Rhinolophus ferrumequinum: one gene and its partners. The protein of the gene in region 2 purifies or fractionates together with the protein of the main gene of each other region. This does not show direct contact. Links are inferred from orthologs where the notes say so. Each region holds a gene or a part of one and is shown on either strand. Other genes may lie near its edges.

What was found. Proteins that work in one complex are often made in the same cells at the same time.
Region 1: the proteins of EXOSC10 (region 2) and EXOSC4 purify together in Homo sapiens (affinity purification with mass spectrometry; 9 studies listed by BioGRID and IntAct, with this or other methods). This does not show direct contact. The link is inferred for Rhinolophus ferrumequinum from reciprocal best matches to the Homo sapiens genes EXOSC10 and EXOSC4.
Region 3: the proteins of EXOSC10 (region 2) and EXOSC7 purify together in Homo sapiens (affinity purification with mass spectrometry; 6 studies listed by BioGRID and IntAct, counting the BioPlex papers as one, with this or other methods). This does not show direct contact. The link is inferred for Rhinolophus ferrumequinum from reciprocal best matches to the Homo sapiens genes EXOSC10 and EXOSC7.

Annotation. Positions count from the first base shown.
Region 1 is NC_046297.1:72,919,982-72,927,135, forward strand, and holds EXOSC4 (exosome complex component RRP41), read left to right. Parts: upstream 1-4,272; 5' UTR 4,273-4,750; coding exon 4,751-4,921; intron 4,922-5,944; coding exon 5,945-6,151; intron 6,152-6,251; coding exon 6,252-6,611; 3' UTR 6,612-6,651; downstream 6,652-7,154. UniProt on the Homo sapiens protein: Non-catalytic component of the RNA exosome complex which has 3'->5' exoribonuclease activity and participates in a multitude of cellular RNA processing and degradation events.
Region 2 is NC_046292.1:7,452,754-7,460,239, reverse strand, and holds the start of EXOSC10 (exosome component 10), read left to right. Parts: upstream 1-4,485; 5' UTR 4,486-4,532; coding exon 4,533-4,643; intron 4,644-6,250; coding exon 6,251-6,387; intron 6,388-7,042; coding exon 7,043-7,166; intron 7,167-7,486. Other genes in the region: serine/threonine-protein kinase mTOR, read left to right, coding at 1,142-1,247, 1,924-1,939. UniProt on the Homo sapiens protein: Catalytic component of the RNA exosome complex which has 3'->5' exoribonuclease activity and participates in a multitude of cellular RNA processing and degradation events.
Region 3 is NC_046300.1:9,960,867-9,967,789, reverse strand, and holds the start of EXOSC7 (exosome complex component RRP42), read left to right. Parts: upstream 1-3,920; 5' UTR 3,921-3,948; coding exon 3,949-4,005; intron 4,006-6,923. UniProt on the Homo sapiens protein: Non-catalytic component of the RNA exosome complex which has 3'->5' exoribonuclease activity and participates in a multitude of cellular RNA processing and degradation events.

The DNA of each region.
Region 1 (7,154 bases), on a different chromosome or scaffold from region 2:
GGAGTCCCTCTAGGAAGACCCCTCCTGGAAGACAGAAACTCCTTCATCTCTGCCCAGTACGGGTGTGTTGCAGGGAAGGGAGTCGAGATTCAGGCATCCCCACTTGCCCATCTGCCCGTCCCCACCTGCCTATGCCAGGTTGTGGGGCTGGGTGACTGGGCACGGTCCCCGAGGTGGTTATGGCCAGCACAGCGTCTGAAGGGTCAGGAGGGAGGGTGTTTGAGCTGCCCTGAGGGAGGGGCCACTGGCCCAGCAGCAGCAGGAGCTGGACAGTGGTAACTCAGCTAGTCAGAGCTCAAGAGCAGCGGTGAGCCAGCGAGCATGCCAGGCTGGGGCTGCAGGCCAAGAGATGGGCCTGTTGCAGGGGTACAGGGAGTGGCATTGTCACATGGAGGGTGGTGCCCTGGACGTGGCCCTCCATTCAGGGGCAGGCAGCAGGCAGGCCCCATGACAGGTCTGAGGACAGCAGATTCCTGGGGCGGGCAGCCACCCCCAAGGCTGACAATTGGGTTTCCATTTTCCAACATATGAAGGACTTCCTTCATGGAGTGTGTCTTCTAACGGGACAGTTCTGTTGCCGTCATTTTGAGTGTTTTCCTCATGTTACGTTTATCGCTTATTTCACATCATCGTTTCCTATTAACTGGTTTGCTCAGTGCAGTTTCTACTCATTAACCGGTAGGTTTTCCTGGAACTTGCGTGGCCCTTTCCCAGCTGCTGCAGTGTGGCATGGTGACTTCCAGTGGGGAGTTCTCACTGGGGCCGGCTGTGGGGTGACACCTCTGAGAGCAGTGTTCCAGGACACATGGTGGCAGCTGCACTTAATCTCAGTAGAAATAATGACCATTTTAATGGTTCCTATAATTCGGAAATAACCCTAAGTCTAAGGATTATGGAGTACAGTATTTCTGACAGAACTAGTGATATTACCCCCCAAAAAATGACAGGCTCGGACCAGTCAACTTCAACTCAGACACCCTGGAAGCTGGAAGGTGAGCTGTGGGGGCAGAATTCTATGAGAGCGCAAGGTTTCCTGCCCAGTGGACACGCCCTGCATGATCCCAGGACTGTGACTGGCGTGGATTTTACGAACAACATTAAGTTGTGTTATGTGGCGAACTGAGGTATCCTGGCTGAGTCTGACCTCATCAGGTGAGCCCCTCGAAGGACAGGCCTCTTCCTGGTGAAAGAGAGGCAATGTGTAAGAGAGATTCCATGCCAGGGAGATTCTCCATGTGGCAAGGAATGTGGACAGCCTCTAGGAGCTGAAATATCACAGTCAAAATATTGAGAGACAGAGAAAATCTCAAAAGTCACAACATAAAAATGATTCATCACATAGAAGACCAACACCTAATTCCCCATCAGAAACAGTGGGGGCCAGAGACAATGGGATGACATCCTCGGAGTCGTTAAAAAGCTCAAGCAAGAATCCTACCCAGTGTACTGGAGAACGATCATTTGGAAATTAAGGTGAAATAAAGACAGTCTGAGATGAACAAAAATAGGATTTGGTACTAGCAGACCTACCTTACAAGAAATACTAAAGAAATTTGTTCATGCTGAAAGGAAGTCGGATCAGACAGTCATTCAAATCCAAGCACTCAGTGCAGACACTGTACTCACAGACGTCTGACCTACAGAGCTGTGAGTTAACGGATGCACTTTTAAGCCACTGCTTCGCGATCAGTTGTTACCCAACAGAAAACTAGCACAGCCTCCCAGTTGAAGGAAGCTTGGGACTTGATGATAAAAGAGGCAGAAACGATGTGTACTCTTCCATGGAAGTCAGCACTGTGAGACCTGGGATGGGACTTTGAGTAGCTACTCTCCCAACTGCTATGCGCCCTCCTTCCTGGCAGAAGCAACCCATTCCACCTTGCCGGAGGAGCCTGGCAGTGGCCTCACCCCTTCGAGGGGCCCACCTGGTGAAGTGAGGCTCAGCCAGGATACCTCAGCTCGCCATATAACATAACCTAATGTTGGGCGTAAAATCCATTCTAGTCACAGTCCTGGGATCGTGCAAGGTGTGCCCACCGGGCAGCCAATTCCTGCAACCCAAAGATGCACGTGCTGCCCTCCCCTCAAGGGGCAGTCCATTTCTCATCCCGTGGAATGAACTGGCCATGTGCCTTATTTTTGACCAGAGAAATGTGATGGAAGTGACAGCGAGCTGGTGCCAAGCCTTGACCGTGAAAGGGCTGGCAGGGGTAGGATGTCCAGGCAGGCTGAGTGACCCTCTCACTCTGGATATTGACCAAAGGGCAAACAGCATTTGTTCCAGGAGGTCGACTAAGTCTTGGTAAGAGCAGCAGGAATCAGTGGCATTTGAGCCCGAAACTGCTGCTGCCCAACCCCAGCTCCCCACTCTGAAGGCTCTCCTCCAAGGGGGCAGAGGCCAGAACTCGGGGCTCCAGTTGCAGGGTGGAGGTTCCACTGGGAAGGACAACGCCTCCCATCCCCCCCATAGATATGGGGCACTGCTCTGGGTGAAGCAGGCGTCCACCCGCTCCCGCCCAGGGTGAGCGGCGGGCTGGGAGGCTAGCAGCTCCACAGCAAGGCTGAGCAGGCTGGCTTTCTCTGGAGGCTGTGTGGTTTTGTGGAAGACAATGGCTACCTTAGTGGCGAGCAGTTACGAGAACGCTCTAACAAATTACCACAAACTTGGAAGCCTTAAAACAACAGACCTTTCTTCTCTTTCAGTTCTGGAGGCCAGAACTCCAAGCTGAGTGTTACGCACTAAAATCAAGGTGTCAGCAGGAATGATTCCTTCTGGAGGCTCCAGAGAATTCTTTCCTTCCCTTGTCCTTGGCTTGGGCTACATCACTCCAATCTCTGTCACTGTGGTCACCTCACCTTCTGTCTTCCGTATCCAAATCTCCCTCTGCTTCTACTTTAAAAGGATATTTGTGATTACATTTGGGGCCCACCTGGAAAATCCAGGACAAGCTCCCAGATCCTTAACGTAATCATCTGCCAAGTTCCTTTTACCATACAAGTAACATTCACAGCTATCAGACATCAGGACCTGGACGTCTTTGGCGGGGATTCTGCCGCCCATTACACTGGCTGTACAGGGGGCAATCTTTCTCCAGCAGCAGAGGACAGTGCCTCACTGGTGGGGAGCTCAAGCAGTCTTTGCCCAACAGGGGGCTGAACCCTAAGCCATGCTAACCCAGATGTTGGGGAGCTACCCTTAAATATAAGCACTGGGGTGGGGGGGAAGGGGGTGGGCTGGGAGGTGACATCAGCAGCTGCACACTGGCAGGAAACTGACTTCACAGCACTGGCCCAGACAAGCCACTAAACGAATAAACTACTCAAACAGCAACATAGCCCATGGAGCGACTGGCTACTCATGGTCCAGGGCCACTGCATAGATTATCTAAAGTGTTTCGCTTTCAACAAAAAGTTACCAGACCTGCAGAGAAACAAGTTAGCGTGACAGCTGCACAGAAGAGGTTAGCGATAGTAACTGCCTTTGAAGGGGCGGATTCTGGACTTGAGGACACACAGCCATGCCCCACGAAGGGCAGTGGCGGGGCATACATCCTGGCACAACTACCCCACAGGTTTCACGCAGCCAACAAAATATTAATGAGTTCCACAGGACAATTTAGATGGATTTCATAAGGTATTTTTGGGGTGAAAAACAGAATGTGTATGAAATGACCCCATTTTAAAAAACAACCAGAATTCCAAAAGCCACTATGGCTATACCCATACAACTTCCTGTATTTGTGTATAATTTGTATGTACGGAGAAAAACATGCAAATGACCATTTATTAGGTTAAAGTCAATGGGGGGAGGGGGTGTGCAGACAGAAAAACCAAGCCAATGTGGAAAACAACATTAAAACTGCTCTGAGGGGCCGGCCCGGTGGCTCAGGCGGTTGGAGCTCCGTGCTCCTAACTCCGAAGGCTGCCAGTTCGATTCCCACATGGGCCAGTAGTCTCTCAACTACAAGGCTGGCATGCAGGTTCAACTTCTCCACTCCTGCAAGGGATGGTGGGCTGTGACCCCCTGCAACTAACAACTGGCAACTGGACCTGGAGCTGAGCTGCCCCCTCCACAAACTAAGACTGAATGGACAACTTGACTTGGAAAAAAGTCCTGGAAGTGCACACTGTTCCCCAATAAAGTCCCGTTTAAAAAAAAAAAAAAACTGCTCTGAAAAGAACTGTGCCCATGTGTATGCATAATATAAAATTATGTCTATTTTTAAATGGACAAAAGGAAACACTAAACAGGAAGGAAAGTGTCCCAACTTGGGAGAATGGGTATTTACGACTGCGGAGCAACTGGAAGCCCGTAAGGACGAAGCCAGGATTGCTTCCAGCCCTCGCTGGTCCCGCCCGCGAACCTCCCAGGAGACTCCAGGCTTCAAAGAGAAGCAACGCCGAGCCCGGCGCGGGGCACAGGCGCGGCGTGACGACCAGGGCGCCGTGAGAACAGCCCCGTGACATAGGGACGCGGTCGGGGGATCCTGCCTCCCGCGGGTCTCCAGCCCTGGCGGCCGCAGAAAAGCTCCCCAAACGGCCCCGGGCACAGCCTTCTCCTCCTGGGCCAGCACCGCCCAAGTCCCCCGAAGGCGGCAACGAGGACAATGACGCCACCCGGGACCGTAACTTTGAGTCCGGAAGCGGGGAGCCGGCCCGCCGGAAACGCTAGACTTCCGGGAGACCGGAAGTGGGGATCCGGGCCTCCGGGAACCGTAGTTCGCGCAGAGGCGTCTGGCGGCAGAGCAACATGGCGGGGCTGGAGCTCCTGTCGGACCAGGGCTACCGGGTAGACGGGCGGCGTGCCGGGGAGCTGCGCAAGATCCAGGCGCGCATGGGCGTGTTCGCGCAGGCCGACGGCTCGGCCTACATCGAGCAGGGCAACACCAAGGCGCTAGCGGTGGTCTACGGGCCGCACGAGGCGAGTGGGCGTGCGCGAGCCGGGCACCGCGGGCGGGTGGGCGCAGGCTCGGGAGGCGGCGGCCGGCGCGTCTCCGTTTACGCAGCACATCTTCCGGGCCGAGGCTCAATCGGACTAAAAGTGGAAGTCCTTACGCCGCGGTGCACGGTGGTCCCTGCCCTTTCCACCGGCCACTGTCTCCTGCGCCCTCCCCTCCTCCATGCTCTTCTGCAAGGCGCCAGGCACGCTCCCCCTCGTTTCCTCACCTCTCTACTCCGACTTCACGGCCTGGATGATACCTCCCCAGACCACCTTATTCAAGTCCCGTCCCCTACAACCACACGCTTCCCTGCTTTTCAGCATCTGTCACCTCAGACACCAATTTAACTTCTCTTTCTCGTTGGTCTCCCCACTGGAACATAAGCTCCAGGAGGAGAGGGACTTTAAAGCCGCCTGTTTTAGTGCCATGTCTCCAGCGCCGTAACGGTGCCTGCTAGCACAGGCACTGAAAAAAAAGTTTGCTTAGCGCATGAGTTTAGGAGCCCAGCTTTCCTGGGGGAGACTAGTTAGGAGGGGGAAGGCCAGAGGGGGTGGAAACAAGCGTGGCACGTTTGCGGAGCAGAAAGGCTGCTGCTGGGGCAGATGGGGAATAATTCCAAATGAGATCGAGAGCTTTCTAGCGATGGCTTTGTAGACCAGGGGTAGGACGCAGGGTTTTATCTCACATGTGATGGGGAGCCTTTGGAAGGTGAGCAGGTTATGTGGTTGTGCAGAGGAGACAGAAGCAGACTTGATATTTGTAAACATACTGGCTCTGGCTACAAATGGAAACTGGGTTGGGAGGGGATGAGGCAGGGATGGAAACAGGCCTGTAAGACAGAGGAGATCCAGCAGTGATGGTGGCTTAGACTGTTCAGTTGCACTGGTTGAGATGTTATAGGTAGTGGGGAGGGAGGAGGGAGGCTGAAGTTCTAGGCCTGAGCCAGAAGGGCTAATGTCAGCTGGGAGGAATGGGCCTGGCTCATGTGTCTTTTCTCCCCCCAGATCCGGGGCTCCCGGGCACGAGCCCTGCCAGACAGGGCCCTGGTGAACTGTCAGTACAGTTCTGCAACCTTCAGCACAGGTGAGCGCAAGCGGCGGCCACATGGGGATCGGAAGTCTTGTGAGATGGGCCTGCAACTGCGTCAGACCTTCGAGGCGGCCATCCTGACACAGCTGCATCCTCGCTCCCAGATTGACATCTATGTGCAGGTGAGTGGTGAGCAGGCAGCAGCCCTCCCCCCAGGGACCGGAAGGGTGTGAGGGTCGGCAGCCCAGTGCACTGATGCCACTGGGGGGGGGGTCCCTGCAGGTGCTCCAGGCAGATGGTGGGACCTATGCAGCTTGTGTGAACGCAGCCACACTGGCAGTGCTGGACGCTGGGGTGCCTATGCGGGACTTTGTGTGCGCCTGCTCAGCCGGTTTTGTGGACGGCACACCTCTGGCAGACCTCAGCCACGTGGAGGAAGCTGCTGGTGGCCCCCAGCTGGCCCTGGCCCTGCTGCCTGCCTCAGGCCAGATCGCACTGCTGGAGATGGATGCCAGGCTGCATGAGGACCATCTGGAGCAGGTGCTGGAGGCCGCGGCGCGGGCTGCCCGCGATGTGCATGCCCTGCTGGACCGTGTGGTCCGGCAACATGTGCGCGAGGCCTCTGTCTTGCTGGGGGACTGAGCATCGGCCCCCATGCCCAGAATAAAACCCACAGTCCACAGCGCTTCGAACGCCCCACGGCACTTCGTGCTCTCAGAGCCTGGCTCCTGGGGGTGACCAGGGACCCACCCTGCACATGAACTACATGCCTCTTGCAGCCTCAGGATTCAAAGCCTGGAGAAGAAGGGGCGGGGGTTGGGGGTGGGGGCGAGTGTGTGGGTGGAGAGAGCAGCTTATGCCCAGAATGGTTCAAGGCAGCTGAGCAGTCAGGTGGGGCCTGGCTTGGTGAGCTAGGCCAGTAGTAGACTGGGGCCCTGAGCACAGGGCTGCGGGGGAGCTCAGCCGGCTGGGTGCCCACCCTGGAGATGTGGGGGGCCATGTCCCACATCCTGTGGACTATGGCTTGGACCAAATGGAACTCTTTGGGCCTATGCTGCAATTACCTTGGGCTCCAAAAATTCAACAGACACATGTTCTCACCTGGAGTATTCTCTCGGCTCTGACCGGTCCCCAGTGAGACACAGACACCCTCCTCCCCATCACTGCACCTGACTCTTTAGCAGA
Region 2 (7,486 bases):
TGTACAATTCTGCATCTAAACAGTATCTATATCTCACATTGTGTGTTCACCACTCAGAGTCAGTTCTCTGGATTCAAGAGATCTTTAGGAGGTAAAATCAAAAGGCTTGATGATGGGGAGGGCTCAAGAATGGCCCCAAGTCATTGGTGACCTTCTAAGAGCTGGGATGAGCCTGGCACCAGAGGAAGCAATTGAAGAGACTGAAGTGAGAGAAGCGAGGAAATGGAGACAAATTTCAGAACTCTTGAGAAGTTCGGCTGTGCAGGAAGGAAACAGGACATAGCTGGAGAAGTAGTTAGATGAGAGGCTTTGTTTCTTTAATGGAAGAGAGGAACATGTTTAGAAAACAGTAAGAAGGGCAGTTGAGAAGGAGAGTTGGAAGGCATGAGTGAGAGGAAGGGTAATTAATATAAGGCTCCTCAGAAAGCAGGAGGTGATGGGATCCAAAGCACAGGTGAACTTGGCCTTAAGTGGGAGGAGGGTAGCTCTACCAGGTCATGGGAGCAAAGAGGAAGCGCGTATTAAACAAGTCCAGCGCCTCGAACACTGCCTGACACATCAGGGGCCAAAAACTGTGTTCAGTGAAATAATTAACTTGCAAAGTAGGTGATGAGGGCATCTGCTGAGGATGAGAAGCCAGAGGAGAGGTTTGGATATTTGGGGAGAGTAAAGGACTTGAAATGATCCTCGTGGAGATGGAAAGGCTTGTTGCCTAAGAAGCAACATAAGCCAGCCTTGTACTGCCGCATTTGGAACTTGAAGATTATAAATTTATAATGGAAGCAACTGCCCTGTGGAAGGAAAGACTCAAAGATGGAGGCTAGTGAGATTGAAACAGAACAGGGTTTCTCATCCACTTGCCGACTCAAGGGTGATTCTGGATTAGAAGAAGAAATCTTTAGAAACCCATCAGCTAGGTCTGTGCCCCTGCTGAACTCAGCCACCTGCAGGCCTTGACTCTCTTTAACCAAGTCTGTGTTAGGAGAAGGAGGCTGGTGCTTATTCAGGTCCCATGGAGGTCGTTTTAAAATCCACCCCTTGTCTAGCCTTCATACTCATGCGTGAGGATAAACTGATCCAAACGGCCAGGAGGGTGTTTTAACCAGGTGCAGACGCAATGTTTGGGCTTCTCCCGTCCTAGGTCGGGACTTCTCTCATGATGAAACGCTGGATGTCCCAACACAAGTGGAGCTGCTCATCAAACAAGCCACCTCCCATGAAAACCTCTGCCAGTGCTACATTGGCTGGTGAGCGGGCGTCTCAGTACTTTTGTTAAAACAAGCAGTCAGGACCCCACCCTGTGCCCCAAACCCAGAGTCCCCGAGACAAGATTGGGAGGGGGGTGGTAATCCATAAAGGGTATTCGTAGTTCACATGTCTTTAATTTTTGTATTCACTGTGTGTGCTCATTGCTCTAAAAAGGAGAAATTTGAGGAAATATGGATGCATATTAGGAAGGCAAATACCAAAATAAGTTAAAATTACATTTTAAATGGTTTAGAAAAGTGAGGCTTCCTTATTTTGAGGGGGATCTTTTGGATTTTTGCTGTCAATTCCAAGATACAGGAAGGCAAAGTAAAAGAAGCCAGAGCAGTGACAGAGAAGGAGATGAAAAGACAAACTTTGGATCTGGGATTATAACATCAAGGACCACTCAGTCCGCTTTGATTAATTGCCTGAGGCATGCCCGAAGGTAGAAACTTGAGCAAGAGGGCCATGGGGAAGTGTCCTGGGACCACAGCAAACGTCAGCACTTGACTAGCAATGACGAGTGTGTCCTGCACAATTAGTAGTGGGAGATCTCAGGGACTCTCCCGGGGGTTGTCAGACCTTGGTCTTTCCATTTTCAATGTACTCGTATCTGTGTAAAGCTTTGAAGAAGCCCAAATTATTAAAATATTCCTTTTCTTTCTGTCGTCTTAGGTGTCCTTTCTGGTAACTGGAGGCCCAGACGTGCCCACAGCATTTCCCTTGAGCCTTTTGTACTTTGGTATATGCTTCCACTAAACTGAAACCATGGTCGGAAAGTTCAACTTTGTTAAATATTTTGAAATGTAAATGAAAAGAACTACTGTATATTAAAAAGTTGGTTTGAACCAACTTTCTAGCTGCTGTTGAAGAATATATTGTCAGAAACACAAGGTTTGATTTGGTTCCCAGGACAGTAAACACAATTAATGCTACCTAAATCAAGCCATTGATTTTAGGGAACAGAAGATCCATAACTTTAGAAATACGGGTTTTGACATAACTCACAACTCATCGTAAGTGTTTGCTGATCGCAGAATGGCCTAGTCGTGCCTCTCAACATGAATACAGCAAACTCAGAGCAGTCAAGAAGCCTCAGGTCATGGAGGACACGTCTTAGGATTCTGGACCGTAAGGATGCAGAAGCCGCCTTCTTCACTTTCACCCATCCCGTTACCTCACTGGTCCGTGGACGGCAACAGTATATGCGAGATGGGCCAAAATGGGTGGGGAAAGGTCCGTCTTCTGCCTCACCCACGATGCTGCGATGTACACACTTCAAGACCCAGACCACTAGCAGGGGAGTTTCTTCAGATTACTGGGTGACCTCAGCTGTGCAGATGCACAGAGGGCATCACAGTGCAGGGGAGTGGCCCACACAGGCCTACTTCTGGGATGTTTGCAGTGACATCTGAACGCTCTGTGTTTAGAGCAGGGGCTTGGAGAACAAGTGCTGTCAGGCGGTGCTGTACACAGGGAAGGCCTAGTTACATGTTGGAAATGAGCAAAACAAATGTTAAACTAAATGCACAAAATATAAACTGTAGCCGTGTCTAGACACCATGTTGTATCTGAATAATTTTTGTGCCAATAAACAACAGAATTTTAAAAACGTATGAGTGGCTTTTCATAATTATTAGTTCATAAAGGAAGCAGTTATTCCTTCAACATTCACTAAGCACTGAGTACTAGGGACCATAAAGGAACCGGATCTACATGACCTAGTCTGTTTCCTCGGGGGTGTTCACAGGCCGGAAAAGGCCGAGACAGTATCAGGCAGGAGTGGACTGACAACTCCACGACACGAAGGGGTGAGAAGGGCCACGTACAGGGTGTGAGCCACAGGTGGGGCTCTGAAACGACTACGCCACTGGGCAAGGCAGGAAAGCCTCATGGGAAGGGGGACATTTGCCGTGTGTCTCAAAGGATGCGCGGGAGCTTGTCATTTCAAGCAAGTGAGGACATTCTCGGCAGAAAAGAGGTGTCAAAGCGCAATATGGTGTAGAAGTGGTGAGTATTAACTTGAGCCGTATTAGATTGCTGGTATTCAGCCATGTTTTATATATAAAATGGTGGTTTCATAGTCACACCTCACAGGTCAGCAGGTCTACCTCAGTGGTCAGTGGGGAATAAAAAGAATAGGAACGAAAAGGAGGCCAGAAAGTAGAGTGGGGCCAGACTGGCCTGCCTCACAGTTCAACGGCAAGGAGTTTGAACCTGATACTGTGGACAGCAGGGAACCATGTGAGGTTCTAAAACAGGTAGAAGCTGCATCTTTCCTCCTCTGACAGTGGGTAATAGTACTAGGAGGAGGAGATGATGCATGTAAAGCACTCAGCACAGCCGGACAGGTGGCATTAGGTCAAACCGTATGAAACAGGTGCTCAGAAATATGAGTTGTTAAATGAACTAGGCTAGGCTTTTGTTCTGCCAGGGTGCCGGTGCACCCGAGGTACACAAGTGGGGGAAAACAGTAAAAAACAAGTATCCTGTTAATAGGATGTTCTGAATAACAATAAAAGCTAATATTTACTGAACACTACTAGGCCAAATGAATTGCATCAAGGGTGTGCCACCCCTGATCTTAGAATATATACCCACTGAGCTTCCCCAGTCCCTCCCCTGACCTGCCTAATGGTGCCTCCCTCGTAGAACACGAACGCTTCGAGGCATTCAGTTAGCAAATGTTTTGAGTTCCCACTACGTGGCTAAACAAGAGGGGTTCCGGGGGTGTAAAGGAGAGGAACACGTGACTGGAGGTGGAGGGCACAGGAGGTACGCAAGGTGGGAGCACACAGATGCCTTTTCCAGGAGTTTGCCTACCAGGGGCAAGAGAAAGGCGACGGTGGCTAGAAGGAGTGGGGTGGAGTAGTGCTTTTTCGTTTCGTCTGTTTAGTTGGGAGATGCCAGCATACGTGTAGGCTGTTAGGAACGGACCAGTAGCCAGGGAAAAGATAGATGATGCAGAGAACGGGGATAATTGCAAGAGCCAAGTTCAAGCGGGTAGGAGTGGCACGGAACCACAGCTTGGGAGGAGCTGGCTTTAAATATGAGGATAATTGGGTTCTCCGGGTCTCACCCTAAATCACAGGACTGTTGGGATGATATAATACGAGGTTAAAGAAAAATGTAAAGTTCCCTGGGTGGAGCGCTCAGGACCGTACTGCTCACGCACACGCCCCTTAAGATCCTGCCCGACGAAGACGACCTTTGCACATGCGTGGTGCGCGCACGTCGCGTCGGCCCGAGGCACTCTCGCGAGAAGAGCCGTGAATGCCGGAAAAATGGCGGTTCCCAGTCCCGGGGACTTGAAGGCCCCGCCGGCTACGAGCGCGGCTAAGTCCGACGAGGAGATGGTGCTGCCGGGATTTCCGGACGCGGACAGCTTCGTGAAGGTGAGTTCGCGGGGCCTCGGGGACGCCGTGAGCCTCCAGCGGCGGGCCGGAAGCAGGCCCGGGCCCTCTGGGCGGCCGCACGCGGAGCCCCGGGCGGGGATCGAGGGGCCGCTGCCCGCTCCAAGCAGTCTCTCACTTCACCCTCCGGGGATGGGGCCTCGCACGCGGACACTAAAGGTAGCCCCGCTTTCCAGTGCGTTCATTCTCCTAATTGAGCCCATGCAGCCCTGAGTGTGGAGCGCCCCCTCCACAGTGGGAAGGGCTTTCTTGTCACGCCGATGCCCCAGCCTTCGCGAGCTCGCCCCCGCCCGGGCCTGAGCCACCCAACCAACTCTCCCGAGGGGCTCGGCTGCTTTATGTTGCCTTCCTACATCCTCGCCTCCCGCGGCCAAGATAGTTTTTAGTGCCTCTTCTCACTCCTGAGGTCCAGTCCTACATAATCCCAAAACCTGGGTTTAAAGTCACCTGTGCAAGCTGTCACTGAGTCTCCCTCCTCTAGGTACCATAGAATATGTATCAATGCCTCCTCGAAAGAACACAGAGAGGGTTCGTTTAGTTATTTGTATAATGCTGCTTAAATATGAACAAACATAAAACTATTTTAAACGCCTTATGCATAGCTCTTATAAAATCATGAAACTAAAATAATTTTTAAATTAGCACTACAAATTCTCAAAAACTACACTCACATACCTACTTTATTGTTAGCAGATGCTATTATTAACTTATTTATTTGGCTTTGGTAGTTCCTGGACCACTAGCCATGGTCCTGATTGGGTGTGTTCATGCTTATAAGCTACCAGGTCTACCCCACCATAACTCAGATTCCTTTCTCTCTTCTTTTTCTTGGAAAACTTTTATTACGCAACTCACAGTGAAGGCATTTGGCCTTCACATGACCAACTATCTTTTTTATCTAGGACAACCACTTCAGGTTTTTTTCTCATTACCCCACAACAATTAAAACAGAGGACTACTTGGCACTAACTGAACCATAAACGTAAGTCCAGTTGTGGGCAGTAGCCATTATCAATTGGTCATCCAAAGGATCTAGAATATTCTTATATTGTTTTTAGATGCTCATCCAAATGAAAACACAAAACTTAATTCCTGTAGGAAACTCATGGATCTGAATTTGAGTAGTAATAGTAATAATAGCACTTCTGTGCCAGCAGCTATCCTAAGTGATTTTATTAGCTCATTTAATCCTTTCAACAACTCTATGGTGTTGGCACTTAAATAATGCCGATTTTTCAGAGGAGGAAACTGAGGTCCAAATAAATGAAATAATTTGCCCGAGATCACAGTTAATAGGTAGCCGAGCCACGATTCAAACCCAGGCCAGTTAGAATATTACTCATACGTGTATTTGTTCTTCCTCTCCCCACTCTCCCAAGAATGTAAGCTCTAGAACTTAGTTTTGTGTTCACCATTGTACCCTGAGGACCTGGGGTAAAATCAGCACTAAGTGAATATTTGTGGGATTGGATATCTTCATCATCGAGCACAATGTGTTACTATATATAATAGGTGTTGAAAAAAAAATGAGTTGCTGAGTGAATGGGGATCCATGTTTAAAACGTGCTTGGTTTTCTGGTTTTTGACAGTTTGCTCTTGGATCGGTGGTAGCAGTCACCAAAGCATCTGGGGGCCTACCACAGTTTGGCGATGAGTATGATTTTTACCGAAGTTTTCCTGGCTTTCAGGCATTTTGTGAAACACAGGGAGACAGGTTGCTTCAGTGGTAAGTGCTATATACTGTTTTCTTCTGTTGAAAGAAATGAATATAAAAAAGGAGGTAATTTTTCCTGAAATGTGTTTTTTCTGAACATAATTTTCAGAGCTATGGAAATGTAAAAATAAGACAGTGGATTTTGATTAGGGAAACTTGGTAAATTTTGAGTTTAACTTTTAAAATATCTTGACTTTTGCACCTACAGACAATGAATCTTTTTGAATTAATGTAGGACTTGAAAACCTAGATCCAAGATTCTCTCACAACTTGCGGAGCCACAAGTATTAGCCTTCTAATAAATGTATTAGGACAGACAGTACACAAACACTGATTTTTGTTTAGCTGTTCCATGACAGAATTAGGGAATGTTTTCGATTTCGTGTTAACACAGTGAATGCAGAGTACATTATTTATATAGTATTATATATCCTTTTAGAATTTAAAGGGAGCTTTGAGTAATTTCTTCCACCCCTTCAATTAACAACAGGTGAGTCTTAGCGAGATATAGCGGATTGCCCAAGGCCACACAGCGTGTTTCACTTTAAGGGTGCAAGTTCTATTCATTTGATCAAAAAGTACTGGGAATAATCCGAGCGAGGCCTCTCGCGCTTTCTCCCCGATTATAAACAAGTGCACACACTAACCTTGGTTTTCCTGTCCTTAGCATGAGTAGGGTAATGCAGTACCATGGGTGTCGAAGCAACATTAAGGACCGAAGTAAAGTGACTGAGTTGGAGGACAAGTTTGATTTACTTGTTGACACCAATGATGTTATTCTGGAAAGAGTGGTCAGTATTTCTCCTTACTCCCTTCTTTTTTTTTTCTTTTTTTGATTACTTTGTAGAAGAGTTTAATCGAGCCAATCTGACGACATATGACAGGGAGCAAGATCTCAGTTGCTCTGCAGAAGTACAGCTTTGCAGCTTCTTCACCTTACTCTTAAGATAACTAACAAACGAGAAGCTTTTGTATTCTTAAAATATGAAAAGGAACCCAGGCACCTTAGGAAATGGAAAGGAAGTTTCGCATTTCTTGCCTGTAACATATTCCTTTCTTTGATAGTTGGCTTCCTTTTCCCCAAAATAACACTTGTCTTCAAATATATCAC
Region 3 (6,923 bases), on a different chromosome or scaffold from region 2:
CCTTCAGAGCCAGGAATGACCCAGCCATTTGTCTCTGGAAATCTGCTTCCAAAGAGGAAGGCAAATAAAAAAATGCAAAAACAGGAAGAAAGTAGAGTCCACATGGGATTAACCATTTTTTCCCCCCAACAGATCAATATTCATACATCACTCCTCTATTTCTACTTCGGATTCTGTTGCTTTCTATGGCTGTGCTCTCAGGGTGTGTATGTGTCTTTAAATATTTCCAGATTTGCTCATTTGGAAACATGAGCCCCTTTTCTCACACATGCCCTAACGAAAGACATGGGAAGCACCCAGCCACTCACTCAAAATGAAACACACGTGAAGACCCTTCCTCTAAATGAGAATAAACTTTACCCATGTATTCATATCAATTTTTCTATCACTGTAATCACAAGTTATAATGTGTAGAGCAGCAAGACAGATACAGCCCTGCTGGCCAGACTGTGACAGGTTATAATGAAAATTCTTTAAGACAAGAAACAGGCAGGACAAATGCAAAGTGTTTAAAGGAAACAGATCTGTAGGGAAAACAGCAGCTCACTTTTGCTTTTCTGAGGTGCGAGGCTAATTGTGAAAATGCAAAGGAAAAGGCCTAAAACTTGGCTCCCTCTGTTTAAAGATTGGGAATAAAATGTTCGTTCCTCGGGCTTTTAGGAGCTCTCTGCAACTTCAGCACCACGGACGCAGCACGGCATCGAAGCTCTTCTGTCACCGGCTTTTACTGCTTTAATGAAGCAAGGCTGGGTGGGACAGATGGACTCCATCTCTGTAAGGTTCTCGTTGCCCGCTAGTGGCTCGCAGCAGCTCTTCACCTCTTGCCCTTGGTGCCTGGCATGCACAATTAGCACCTTATTATTGGCTGGCCTCTTGTCTAATTATCATGTGTCTCAATCGAGCAATATTTTATTGTCTTGTTCATGCACTAGCTCAAAGTGCCTGGGCTCCCCGGCTATAATAAATCCTAAACCCCTTTTAGGCAGGTGTGTGTTTTCAGTTTCTTATTACTTCAGGCCCTCGAGAACACAAGCGACTCTCGGGCACACAAACAAGTACTTCCTGATTGTTTGAAGAGCTCCTAGGTGTCTGTTGTGGGTGTAAGGCACGTGGTTGGAATCTGGGTCTCCATGCCATCTCCGTACCAGATCCATCGGCCTTCTCTGCCGTTGAGGGCTGTCCTCAGCTCCTCTAAGCTCCATCAGCCTGTATTTAACTGTTTCCCTTATCCAAAGGGGTTAGACATAGGAATTTCCCATTAGCACCACGTTCTATATTAGCTGTGCAGGGATTGGAGCTAGATTACCTGGTCTCAAATCCTGGCTCTGCCAGTTACGTGACCTGTGGCCTTGGTCAAGACAAGTAACTTCTCTGCACCTCAGTTTCCCAATCTGTAAAATAGGGATAATAGTATCTGTCTCGTAGAACTATTGTGAGGACTGAATCAGTCAATCTTTGTCAAGTGCTTGGTACATAATAAGCACTATGTAAGTTAGAGTTAAATAAAATTAATAGGGTGCAGAGGTTTAGAATAGACAGACCTACAAAACAGTATGCGCCCTAGAGAATCTGACAGTGATGGAAAAACAAGCTGGTTTAACAGAATAACGTGCCATCCTTGGCTTTTGGATTTTCTGGCTAACATACATTCTTTGAATGGCTTCAATAAACCAAAAAGGAACTCTGAATTTATGGGTTTTAAAAATGTCTAATGTATTATCACAACAAATGGGATAAAAATGTTCTGGCCGCACTGAAGTAGAACGATCAGTGAAGGTATCGTTGTTTTAGTAGAGAATGTAAAATGAATATTCTACTATTTATACCTCTCACACCTACTTAGCCTGTTAAGTCAGACATCATTCATAATATTACTTAGCAAATACTGCCAACCCTTCTCCAGCAAGGAACCTTTAGTCAGTTGTCGGGGGAACAGTTCAGATAGAGCTTTTATATTTTTTAAGACATACTGATTTTATATTGAGATGATTCCATGGTATCCAAACTCAGACTTTCCTTTCTGTGTCTTTTCTGATCTGTCCATTTGCTGCCACTTTTTAAATCCTTAATCCTCTTAGATATTCCAGCTACTAAAATTCCATGTCCAGGGTCTCTCTTTTCTGAGCAATCTCTACCACAAAATCCTGTTTTAACATCAGCATCCTCTGTTACCACAGAGTTCCTCACATGGGATCCAGGTGTCAAACCACACAGAAAAACGTCTATTGCCACAACAGATGGGGCACCTGTGTTTTCATTAGGGAGGAAATCCTTCCGGCTTCACCCTTCCGTTTCCCTGGAGGGCAAAGTCCAACCCTGCAATATGTCTTCCCTGTAGGTGCACCTGTAAAGAACTACGTAGAGACATAAGAAATAACTAATGTCTAGTCTACTAAGAAGTGATCATCTATTTTAGGAGCTTAGCAGTTTAGTGCTTAAGAAGGTGGACAGGTATTTCCTTTCTGCACCTTCCTCTGGCCCACCTCCCTGTCCCACTGTGCTCACTGGTGCCACCGTCATAGCTCTTAACCACCATGTTCTGTGATTATGGTGGCCCTGGAGCCTTCCCTTCTGCCTGGGGAGCTTCTCCGGGCAGACGTCGTGTTTCACTGGCCTTAGTGTTCCAAGCTAGCCCAAAGCCCACCCACAGCAAGATCCCAATAGTCATTTGGGAAACTATATTGAAGACAGTATCTGGGAAACACCGGTCGTTCTTTGGATGACCAAGCCATCAAGGGTTACTTTCACTTTTGAGAACAGGGAGGTTCCCCAAATACGGGACGTTTAGAAAAGTCATCAGATCCCCTCTTTGCTTCCATCACTTTCGGTTAACTTTCCTCCGTTTATCCACATGGCTCTGTTAAAATCTGTGCCATACCCTGTCTGCCCCGCCTTGCTGGGGCTCCTTCAGTGACCCCATGTCCACCTTGCAGGTATCCTTTCTGGACATTGGAGGCCGAGACTCCTACTCGGCCAGCACCTGGGCTTCCGCCCCGCCTCCCCGTCCCCTCCCGCCCCCAGCAGCTGTCCACAGCTCCCAGAAATCACCCCATCGAGTCAAGGCTTCCAGCCACCACTGAGAAGCGCTGGGGACGCCTGGGCACTGCGCCCCTCGCCAGCGCCGGTTACCAGGACTCTCCCTCCTACTCTCTTTGGGATCATACTCCGGCGACCACCCGGGGCAAGGGGATCCTGAAAGGTCCTGGGTCAGCGTTCGGTGAGAGAGAGAGAAAGAGAGAAATGGGGGGAGGGGGAATCCGTGGGGTGGACTGAGGACGCCTCGGGACTAGTGGGCATTCATTCCTGGCCCGGAACCTTTCCACCGAGAAGCTAAAAAGGGCTTCATCGCCTCTTCTTTTCAACCATCCTAGGGACCAGGAAAATGCAGGACCGGGCGGTGGGGGTAGGGAGACCGAGACAGCCCCCGGTCTGTAGGGGAGACAATCACCAAGTCCGCTTCCCCTCACTCCGGTGTCTCTCTCTCACACACACGCACACGACCTGCTACTTCCACTCCAGCTCTGAGCAATCTGCGTCGCGCGCCTCTCCCACTACGAGTCCTCCGGCTTCGGCCCCGGCCCCGCGCCTCTCACCTCACCCCAGCTTTTCCAACCAACTCCAGTTCCGCCTCCCAACTGACCGTGAAGTCGGAGGCAGTTCCCCAGTCCCAGGCCCCTAACGTGGCTCCCGCCGCGGCCTCCCCCTGCAGTCCTCGACCCGGGCCCCGGCTTCGGGCTGCAGCGATGGCTCCCCGGCACGAGGCCCCGCGGCTCCCTGGACTCTGCCAGACACGCGGCAGCGCGCAGGAGAAGCCCATGGAGCTCCCGGCAGTGGCAGCAGCGGCGGCTGCAGGAGCGGCCGCCGCGCAGGCTGATGACGCACAGGAGCGGGAGGCGCGGCCCGCGCGGGGGCGACGCGGGCTGATGACGTCAGGGCCGGCTCGGCAGCATGGCGTCCGTGACGCTGAGCGAGGCGGAGAAGGTGTACATCGTGCACGGCATCCAGGTAGCTCCAGCACGGCGCCGGCGTGGGCCGCCGGGTGTTCCTGGCCCCGCGGGTCGCGGGCGGCCCTCGTTCACCCGGGAGGAGCGGCCGCGCCGCGGCGGGTCTGCGTTTACCTTGGGATTAAACCGCTCTGCGGCCGGCAGCGTGGGCGATTTAGGAGCGGGCGGCGAGCGTCCGTGCAGGGCTGGGTGCGTGCTCGCAGCCTCCCGGGTCTCCGGTTCCGAACCCGGGTAGGAAGCGGTGCGCCCGGTCCCGGAGGCCTTTTCGTAGCGAAGGAGCGCGGCCCCAGGGCCCTCCCTTCAGCCTTCGCGAGCCGCTTCACTGTCGCGGTGGCTTCTGGCCGCCTTTCCTCGCCTCGTGGTTGGGAGTCACAGCGAGAGAGAAGGCACCCGAGGTGGAAGCGCTTTGGGAATATAAATCGCCTTACAAATAAAGGAAGGGTGTTTAAAAAGTGGCTCCACAGGCAGCAGCATAATTTTTGCTGTTGGCCATTTTGTCTCTGGAGAACTAAGGTCCCTAGAGGCAGCTGTAACTACACTGAGCTCTTCTGTGCTCAGCCTTCAATCCCTGGTTTGGACCACCACGGAACCCGAGCCTGGTAATTAGCTACCGAGGAAAGCCAAGGGCGTCCTTCTTGTCTGTAACCTGCCCAGGTTAGAAACGTCTCCCAAAAGTCTCCCCAGAGCCTAGGCAGAATCCTGTTCTTGCCTGGATTGACCTGAGCATTTTGTGTTTTACTTTTCACTTTTGGTTTATTATGGTTACTTTCATCTCGTCTGGCGTTCCTTTTACATCAGTCTTCGATTCCTTTATTACTCCTAAGATGAGGAAAAGCAGTGGCATATAAGGTGTGTGTATCAACGGGGTGCTGTAGTCCGTGGACGCCAAACGCGCTCAAGCACAGTGGAGACTACTGCGCTGGAGCCTTCCCCACGGAGGTGGGATTACTCTCCTAAATCCACGTCAAGTGCTTCCTCTGTGTATCCTCAGGACTCAGTATTTAACTCATTCAACGGAGCTAGACTCGAGGGGTAGGAAGTAGCCTGCCCTTCTATAGCTCTCATGCTAGAATGAACAGACAGAAATGACTTCTGTTTATTTGTGTGTTTATATATAAAATTATACTGAGGGCTGTGAAGGGAAAAAACGAAAAACAAGAAACCTGCCTCGTCTGGCAGGTCAGGGGAGGCTAAGGAAATTGCTTGATCAAGAGTTAAGTAGGCTTGAGCCTTCCAGAAGGAAAGGATGGTGACTCCACTCGTGCTGAGGGTAATGGTGGAAGATCAGGTTACAGAGGTAACCAGAAGCCTGATCCTAGGGATCTTAGAGGCTCAGCCACTCCCTCATCATGGATCTTGGAAGGTCATTATTGACCTGTCTGTATGATACCCTTAAGGCCTAGCCGGTGTCCAGCACTTAGTAGGTACTCAGTAACATTAAACAGTAACGTAGGCCTTAAAGGGGCGATGAGTTGGACAGGGTTTTCATTTTTTAAATCAAACCTCTCTCTCACCAGTCACCAGGACCATGGACACATTAGGGCCACAACTATTAGTAAATGTTCAGTTCTGTGTATCACAGAACCATGTAGACTAACTGACGAAATAAAACTCTTCGTAAGGATTGTTAATATTGGCCACAAATTTGCCGTGTTTGTGGAGGAGCAAAACAGAATTTACACCATTTGAATCAAGGTCAGAATGCAGGTGAGTGAGCCTGCCATGGGATCTCCACTGACTCAGTTCTAAAATCACCTACACTGTGGTTAAGTTGGTCACCGAGTGCCAGCAGAGTGCCGTAAGTCTAGCTGGAATCCTGTTCCTGCCCCTGTAGACCTAATCATTTTGTGTTTTACTTTTCACCTTTGGTCCTGTTTGGTTTTAGCTTCTGGCTCCCTTTCCCTCAGCCTTTGATTCCATTACTATTTCAGGGATATTTTATCTTATTTTGGTGGTGGTTAGAAGCAGTTGAAATTAACCTCACCATGTGTGTTGAGGATTCAGTTGCTAGTTATGTTAACCAACAAACTGGCTCAAGCCAAAAAAAAGTACGTATGAGAAGGCTATAAGTGTTTCTCCAGGAATTCATGGGCAGTTGGATCTTCAGGCTTTCGCTTGCCCATCTCTGCTGCTTTTTATGCCTTTGTTTTATTCTCCTCACTCTTCAGTTGGCTTTCTGTTTCTTGGGCCATGTGGTAGAGAGACTGTGGTTATCTCTCAGCTCTTGGGGTTACAGTTTCCTTGTATAAGAAAGCAGCCCTTCTAGTTCAGTTCCAGACTCGTCTATGGACAGAATGGTTAGGCCCAAACATGGCCACTGAGGGATGAGGCCACTTGAGAGAGAGAGAGAGAGAGCGCAATTAGTGGACAGGAGGATGAATCATTTTATGTTCTGGCAGAAGATGGAACCCAATTCAGATAACTCAGGGGACTTTCATAACCACATGGGTGCATTTCAGGGAACCAAGAAGAAATGTGGAAGAGCCCAACGTCTAGTGACCACAGGGAGTAGCTACGACTTCTAGGCCAAAGGGGCCAAAAAGAAGCAAAGAGTAAAAGAATATCTGTAGTAGGCTGCCCTTTATGTAAGAAGGGGATATAAAAAATATTCGTGTATCTGCTCATTTGTGCAAAGGAAAAAGAGGAACCAGGTTACCTACCTGGTGTGGGTGGGAAAGGGGGAGGAAGAAGAGGGGACATGAAAATAGGGATAAGGGGGAGAGTGACATTCCTCTGAGCACACCTTTTCTGAAAGTTTTGACTCTTAGAGCCGTGGTGAAAGTCCACACATCCAAAAAGTAAATAAGTAATTAAAAGTAACGAGGTAATTAAAAGTAACCGGACAAGTGAGTAACAGAGCCACCCTGAGGATGGGGACAGACAACTGGAAAACAGTGTTTTGTGTGGATCACTTGGATA